2 linked regions of the Oryzias latipes genome follow. The protein of the gene in region 1 purifies or fractionates together with the protein of each later gene. This does not show direct contact. Links are inferred from orthologs where the notes say so. Each region holds a gene or a part of one and is shown on either strand. Other genes may lie near its edges.

What was found.
Region 2: the proteins of cdkal1 (region 1) and mms19 purify together in Homo sapiens (affinity purification with mass spectrometry; 4 studies listed by BioGRID and IntAct, counting the BioPlex papers as one, with this or other methods). This does not show direct contact. The link is inferred for Oryzias latipes from reciprocal best matches to the Homo sapiens genes CDKAL1 and MMS19.

What each region holds. Positions count from the first base shown.
Region 1 is NC_019874.2:11,062,953-11,066,771, reverse strand, and holds part of cdkal1 (threonylcarbamoyladenosine tRNA methylthiotransferase), read right to left. Parts: exon of another isoform or gene 3,697-3,819; intron 3,528-3,696; exon of another isoform or gene 3,504-3,527; intron 3,036-3,503; 5' UTR 3,030-3,035; coding exon 2,872-3,029; intron 1-2,871. UniProt on the Homo sapiens protein: Catalyzes the methylthiolation of N6-threonylcarbamoyladenosine (t(6)A), leading to the formation of 2-methylthio-N6-threonylcarbamoyladenosine (ms(2)t(6)A) at position 37 in tRNAs that read codons beginning with adenine.
Region 2 is NC_019877.2:1,645,642-1,649,460, reverse strand, and holds part of mms19 (MMS19 nucleotide excision repair protein homolog), read left to right. Parts: intron 1-33; coding exon 34-103; intron 104-447; coding exon 448-576; intron 577-655; coding exon 656-717; intron 718-1,550; coding exon 1,551-1,637; intron 1,638-1,720; coding exon 1,721-1,795; intron 1,796-2,309; coding exon 2,310-2,387; intron 2,388-2,497; coding exon 2,498-2,636; intron 2,637-3,701; coding exon 3,702-3,819. UniProt on the Homo sapiens protein: Key component of the cytosolic iron-sulfur protein assembly (CIA) complex, a multiprotein complex that mediates the incorporation of iron-sulfur cluster into apoproteins specifically involved in DNA metabolism and genomic integrity.

The sequences.
Region 1 (3,819 bases):
TCTGGGTGTGTCAGTTCCAAAAGACCAGATATGAGTTGGCGTAATTACGCTCGACTTGGTAACCCTGGGTTAATGCGGGTGCACGTCAAGTACATAAAAACCTTCTCAATGGAACGCCAATTTCTGGAGTCACCATGGAAACGCGTGGTGAAAAAAAGAGAGCGCTATATTTCAGTGAGACTGAGTCTGAGATTAATGACGGCTATGAAGATTATACGTCCATCAAAAAAGTAAAACGGCTGCATCCGAAGAAGAAAGAGTTTTGCTTGTAGTAGAAGAACAGACAAAGTAAACGCACGAGTTTCTGATCTTATTTCCATTTTCCTTGTGAAGCATATATTTAAAACGTATCCAATTTTGCCAACTTAAATGAATTACTTGGTACTATTGGTAACAAGTAATTGAGTTAAATTTATTCAACCTACTTTCTTAGGTCTATAAAACTTAATTAGTGTTTATTCAACTCAAATTTACAGATTTATTTAACTAAATGTCATATTACTCCAATTCAATTATTATTGTTTCCACCTTAAGGAATAATAATTCTTGAACTCTCAAATGTCTAAGTTTGAGCCGGCAGATATGCTCATTTTTATAACAATAAAAAGAACAGAACGATACACATTTGGAGAGTAAATCCATTTAAGAATTCATCGACATTGTCATTACATCATTTGGCTGTAGGGGTGCTATATAAACTCATCATCCTCTCCCTCCCTCTTACTCATGGTGCAGAGACTTGAGCAAAGTGGGACAAAGTAACTCGGCAAAACACAGTAAAACAGCTAAACAACTAAACACATTTGGTCAAAAACCCACACTTAAACCCAAATCCGTCCAGAGAGGCAAAGGGAATGGTATCCCACAATCCCTTGCGGTGCCGATCTAACAGCAGCACCAAAGTTACACCTACTTAATTGAATTAATTTGAATGAAAGTAAAATAACTGTCTGAAAACAAATTGTTATTTTTAAACTGACTTAACAAAAAAATGATTTTTAATTATCTTAACTGAAGCAAATAATTAAGTTAGATCAACATAGTTTATTTTTCCAACATCCATATGTGGTCTTATCACCCTCTCACAGTGGAAAAAGTATTATCTGAGCTTCTTCATCAAATCAAATCAAATCAAATCAACCTTTATTTATATAGCACTTTTTCAACAACATATGTCACTCAAAGTGCTGTGCATAAAAAACAATAAAATTTGAAAACAAGATGACAAGACAAACCGTGCGACAACCCCCACCCCGCAAAAACACACACACACACACACCCACACACATCAAAAAATAAATAAATAAATAAAAAAGTGATAAAATGATAGAATGTAGAGACCAAGCTTTGTCCTGAAGTGGGGAAACGATATTTTGGGGACATGTCCACATCAGCGACCCCCCAACCCAAGTTCACGGAGAACACTACCACAGAACCCCCCAGATCCGATCAAAAGAGTCAGACCCAGGAGATCCCACTGCAGCAGTTCACTGAGAAGGGTCAGTCACCGATGTGGAGGATCCCTCAGAGGGAAACACTGGAGTGTAATAAAATGTAAAAGGAATAAAATTTAAGTATATATAAAACATGGACAAAAAACAAATAATTACATAAACCTTAATAGGCATATGAAATAGTAAGAGCAACTTAAAAATTAATAGAATACATAAATAAATGTATTTACATACACATATAAAACTAGTTAAAAGAAAAAAATAAATAAAAAATAAATAAATAAATCCTAAAATTTAACTAAAAGCTAAATTAAAAAGGTAGGTCTTAAGCCTTCCTTTAAAAACATGAACTGTCTCTGCAGCCCTGAGGCTCTCTGGGAGGCTGTTCCACAGGCGAGGTCCGTAAAAACTGAATGAGGCCTCGCCGTACGTTTTTGTTCTAACTTTTGGGATAACCAAAAGGCCTGTATCAGAGGACCTCAGGGTCCGCGAGGGCTCATACTTTAAAATCATGTCAGATAAATATGAAGGCCCGAGACCATAAAAACATTTGTAAACCAATAAAAGAACTTTAAAATCAATTCTGAATTGCACAGGGAGCCAATGCAGCGATCTTAAAACCGGTGCAATGTGTCCCCGCCCCCCGGTCCTCGTCAGAACGCGTGCTGCTGAATTTGGCAGCAGTTGAAGATTTGCTATTCTTGTTCTGGGAAGACCAGAGAGCAGAGCATTACAATAATCTAATCTGCTGGTAATAAAAGCATGCATTAGCACCTCTGTGCTGGCAAGAGAGAGAAATGGGCGGACTCTGGCTATATTTTTTAGATGATAAAATCCTGTTTTTGTGATATTTTTAATTTGTGGGATAAAATTCATCGCAGAGGCAAAAATGACACCCAGGTTTCTCACACACTGAGAAGTTTTGTAATTCTTTAGTTTAGATAAAACTATCTCTCTCTTGTCCTTAGAACCGATCACTAAAACCTCTGTTTTGTCCTGGTTTAGCTGTAGGAAGTTCTCTGCCATCCATGACTCAATGTCTAAAATGCATTTTAAGAGTGTGTTGACCGACTCTTCATCATCATCCACTAAATCATCTTCAAATGGACACGCCAAGCTTCTTCACCTCTCTGAAAACCAACTAACCTTCAACTAAACCTGCTCCAGACCAGGTTATGTTCAGAGCATGAGTTGCCATGGCAACTTGACATACCCTGAAACATACCTCCATTTCAGACATGGCCGTTCACGAACACTAAAGTCTAGAGACAAACACCACAGGGCCCATGTTTAACATAAACGTACGCACTATTTTTAATGAATACTTGAAGTCCTTCAGTCTACATGTACAATCTTTAGAAACTGTCAGTTTCAAACTCAGATCAGATGAAGTCAGATGAAGCATATTCTGGCGTACCTGTCAGCTTGGAGCTCTTCGTCGTTTAGAAGCTCTTTCTTCTTCTTGGGCCTTGGTATGATGTTCTTTCTCGCAGACTGTCTTTCATGGGGGGTGGGGTCCGTGGAAGACACCATGTCCTCAATATCTTCAATCACGGGGTCGCAGGCGGAAGGCATGATGATCTGAAAGATCACAGTTCGACTCTATAAAGAACGACTCAGAATCCACAGAGATAACTTAGCTCTGTTAAAAGCAATCATTCAAAGAATTTTATCTGAAATTAGCACGTGCATTTATGATTAAGAGTAATTATATTTGAATGATTTACATCTACATGTACAAGTATGAATATACATTTTCTAATCAGTTCATGAACAACCATCCTAAGTTAGATATGCCTATGTGAAGATATATACACATACATTTCTGTGGTCTATCTTCTTAATTCTATTTTTGTTTTGGTTGCTTAAAGTAACCGATTCCAAATATAAAACATATAACAAATATTTAGAATACACAAGAAACACAAAACAATTCTTTAGTCATCCCGTCAACGTAGTCTAAATTAACTTACTATAAGCCAAACTGAAAAAGACAACAGGTAAACACGATTTGGCTCTAAAAAAAAAATTAAAAAAAACTATTCCAACCTTCTTATGTGATATTTGTGCAAGTCAGTAACGGCACTACCCTTGCTTGAGTAACTTAGAATGCAATTCCTGTGTCAAAACACGGATAACTGTAGTACAATTTTATAGGACAACCGTTAGCATTAGCCAGCTTGCCCACGTGCCTTACCAGTTGTAAAACACAAGAGTTGTATCTACTATTTGTGTAAATTACCTGAATCGTAATGTGGTTATATTGTCCAATGAATCCAATCTTCGGGTCAAATATGCGCCCAATTGATAAACTGCTGTTGTTTACACCACAGGACAGTTGTCACAACTTCTCCTGCGCCATTCT
Region 2 (3,819 bases), on another chromosome or scaffold:
TCTATCTTGACGTTGTTGTTTTTTGTCTCTCAGTCGCTGATGCTTGCAGAGCGAGCGTGTGTCTACAACATGCTCACCAACCTGATGGAGACCAGGGAAGCCGGTAAGAGTCTTCCTCAAAGTGAAGGGGTTCTGTGCTGCCCGTCCCAGGAGATGCAGAGCCATCAGAAGCTTTATAAAGAGAGAGGCGCTTCTAGAGTAGAGGATCTAACCTGATCTAGAGGATCTAGCTGACATTTGTGAGACCGTGCTCTAGTGGTCACTTGGTGAACTGCGGGTCGCTCCAAACCAGTTTAGGCTTGTTTGATAAACTGAATTAATGATTTGATTATTTAAATTCTTTCTAATTTCTCCAATTGTCAATAACGTTTGTTTATAGTATCCATACAAATATCTGACACTCTATGCGTTTGGCGGTCTCTCACGTCCTCTCAATCCTCCATTCAGAGCTGAAGAGTTTGGGAGCCGACTTTGTCTTTGGTTTCGTCCAATCAATGGACGGCGAGAGAGACCCTCGCAACTTGCTGCTGGCCTTCAGGATCGCCAGAAACCTCATCGTCCAAGGATACGATCTGGGTGAGAAGACCTTCCTCCCCCCCCGTCTGTTGGTGATGTCACGGTTTCCTTCTCTCAACCTTCCTGTCTGCTGTCTCAGGTAAATTCGCAGAGGAGCTCTTTGAAGTGACTTCCTGCTATTTCCCCATCGACTTCACCCCGGTAAGTTCCTGTTGACGACGTCTGCAGACCGCCAGAGAAAACTGTTGCTCCTCCCCCCAAAAAACAAGTGTGATCTGGGCATTCGTGCTCCTCATTGGGGTCTCCATCCTCTCCTCTCTGGAGAAAAATCAGCTAAAGTAAAATATGTCGCTCTATTATCTTCAGGATCTGCTACATGTCCCTCTCTCTCCCTGTCTGTCCCTGCCACCCGAGAGCTGCACAAATTCATTAAAAAAACACGCTTTTGTCATAACGGTGCCTTTTATGTACGTTTGTCTCCATAGCAACCATTTCAATTTTTGGTCGTTTGAGGCCGACGGACAGATCAATGTCATTTTTAGAGGAATACATTTTTGGATTTCCTTAGCAACTGAGGTTTTTTGTCAACCCCGCCCACATTCCTAATATGTTCATATCTACAATGTCCTGGTAAAAAATGTGCGAGCAAAAGTTTAAGTCGCACTGCCCCCATCTGAAAATCGCCCAATTTTACACTTTGCCACCTTTTGCCATCCCATAATAATTTCAAAACTTACTTTAAATATCCCTGACATGTGTGTTTTGGTTTTGCCGGGTTTTTTTTGAGCCCCCGGAGATTGTGGGAGTGTCAGCAGCAGTGTCTGCAGCAGCGTCTGCAGGAGCGTCTGCAGCTGTGTCGGCAGCATCTGCAGCAGCGTCTGCAGCATCTGCAGCAGCGTCTGTGCAGATCTCTGACATGGTTCTCCAGGGTTCTGACATCTGAACTCTTTAGATCAGGACGCGATTCCAGGATAACTTTTCATCTAACCTGTCCTCCTATTCTTTTTCCAAAACCCCCTCCTGGTCCACTGCAGCCCCCCAACGACCCCCACGGCATCACCAAAGAGGAGCTGGTTCAGGCTCTGAGGGCCGTCCTCACCGGAACGCCAAAGTTTGCCGAGGTAACGACGGCGGGTCTGCTTCTTCTGACTCGATCCCCTGAGCAAACATTCTCCGGCAAACGTTTCTGTTCGGCTTCCCACAGTTTCTGTTCCCCCTCCTCATCGAGAAACTGGACTCAGAGGTTCAGAGCGCCAAGCTGGACGCGCTGCAGACTCTGGTGAGGAGACACGCCGTGACGCTGAAACAAGACACCAGTTTTCCTCCAGTCTCGTAAAGCAGCACAGTGCATAAACCCGTGCTTTTACTCTGAAAGGGTAAAGGGCGGGAAACCTTTTTCTGCAGAAAACGGACGTCTGAAGTGAATTTTTATTTCTTAATTTTATTTCACCTTTATTTACCGAAGAAATGTCCCATTGAGATCAAGAATCTCTTTTTCAAGGGAGTCCTGGCTAGAAGGAAACAATAAATTATATCTACAATAAAATGTAAACAATTAAAACAAAATAAATAAACACAAAAGCTGATTCAGCTCAGACATGCTGATGTTTAGATCTGCTGTCGCTGCAGTCGTTTGTTTTTTAGTTTTGGACAAAAGAGGAGATGGAAGAGTTCTGTGACGAAATAAAACACATTCTATTAGAAATCCTTTTCTAAACTATCTGTTATTTTGGGTCTTGGCTTAAAGAACCTGATCTTCCGGTGAACTCTCAGACGTTGCTTTCTTTCCGCAGAACGCATGTTTGTCGCGCTTCGAGCACAAGGACACGGCTGAGTTCCTTCAGGGCCTGTGGTCGTCGCTGCGTCGAGAGGTCGCCACGCTCACGGATTCAAACGTTTCCTTCCAAATTCAAAGCTTTTCGTGACGTGGCGTTGCTGCGACGCCTCCTGGCTGCCGCTCAGACCTCGCTCTTCTCTGCAGGTCTTTCAGACGTCCAGCGAGAAGATCGAGTCTGCAGCCCTCGCCGCCCTCGCCGCCCTCACTTCCTGCCTGTCTCGCTCGGTGCTCAGCTCCGAGTCGGAGGACGTCCTCGGACGCTTCCTGGAGGTCGTTCTGAGAGGTGAGCGGCGGTGAGATCGGCCCTCTGAGTTCAGGTGGATGCTAAGGGGAGTCGTGGTGGATGCTCCTGGTTTTTTTTAATAAAGCCAGGCAGGAAAAAAACTAAATTAAACAAGATAAACAGTATAGGGATATAAGGATATTTTTAAATGTAATAAGGAGAAAAACATGTCATGTAATTAGCAGGTGTTACAGAAATTCTCTTAAGGCTTTTATCGTAAAGCTAATGGTAAAAAATACATTCAGGTTGAGCAAAAACTACAAACAACTTATTATGTTTTTAAATTAAAACATTAATCGTGTAAAAATACTTCTGCAGACACAAACCTTTGCTCTCAAACACAAAGGCTTCTGTAACCATGGTAACAGTGTGTGTGTGTGTGTGGGGGGGGGGGGGGTGTGAGGGTGTGTGTGCGTGTGTGTGTGTGGGGGGGGGGGGAAACCTGTTTGAACACAGGCTGCTGAGAAACACATGTTGACTTTCAGTATAACAAATCTAAAAGCACAGAGCTGAACCGGTTCTCTAAACAAACCAGAAGGGGTCCAAAAAGACCCGCTCGGTTCTGTTTCCTCCGGATGAAACCGAATGTTGAGCTCAGAGAAACGGCTGAATGTTCAACACAACGGTTTGTCCTTTGGAACGAACCAACAGAATAGATGTGATCTAAAACTGTTTCTACAGCAGAAAAAGGTTTTTCCAAAGTTAATGCAGAAATTGAATTTACCTGAGTTCTTTATTTATAAAAATGACGTCAAACTGTGCTGACGTCTTGTGGCGAGGCCTCATTCCGGCGCCGTGGGCCTCGCCTGCGGAACTTCCTGAACTTTCTAACATTTTTTGTTTTAGCTTTGATTTGAAGTAAATTTGACACTTTCTAAAGTTTCTGTTAACTTTTAGATTTCTGGTTGATTTCATGGACCGTCTCTTTTTTGTTTGTTAGATCTGCGTTTGTGGCGGACTATTTAGTTATTTATTTGAGGTGTTGTCAGACCTTTATAAATAAAGTTTTATTTGAACTTTTTTTGTTCGATTCTTTTATGACTAAAGTTTAATTTCTGCCTCCAGACTGTGAGCATCACCTCCGTGAGCCGGACCTGAAGCTGGTGTGGCCCGCCGCCAAGCTGCTCCAGGCCTGCTGCGGCGCCTCCTACAGGGCGAGCCGCGTCATAACGGCCGCCGTCCT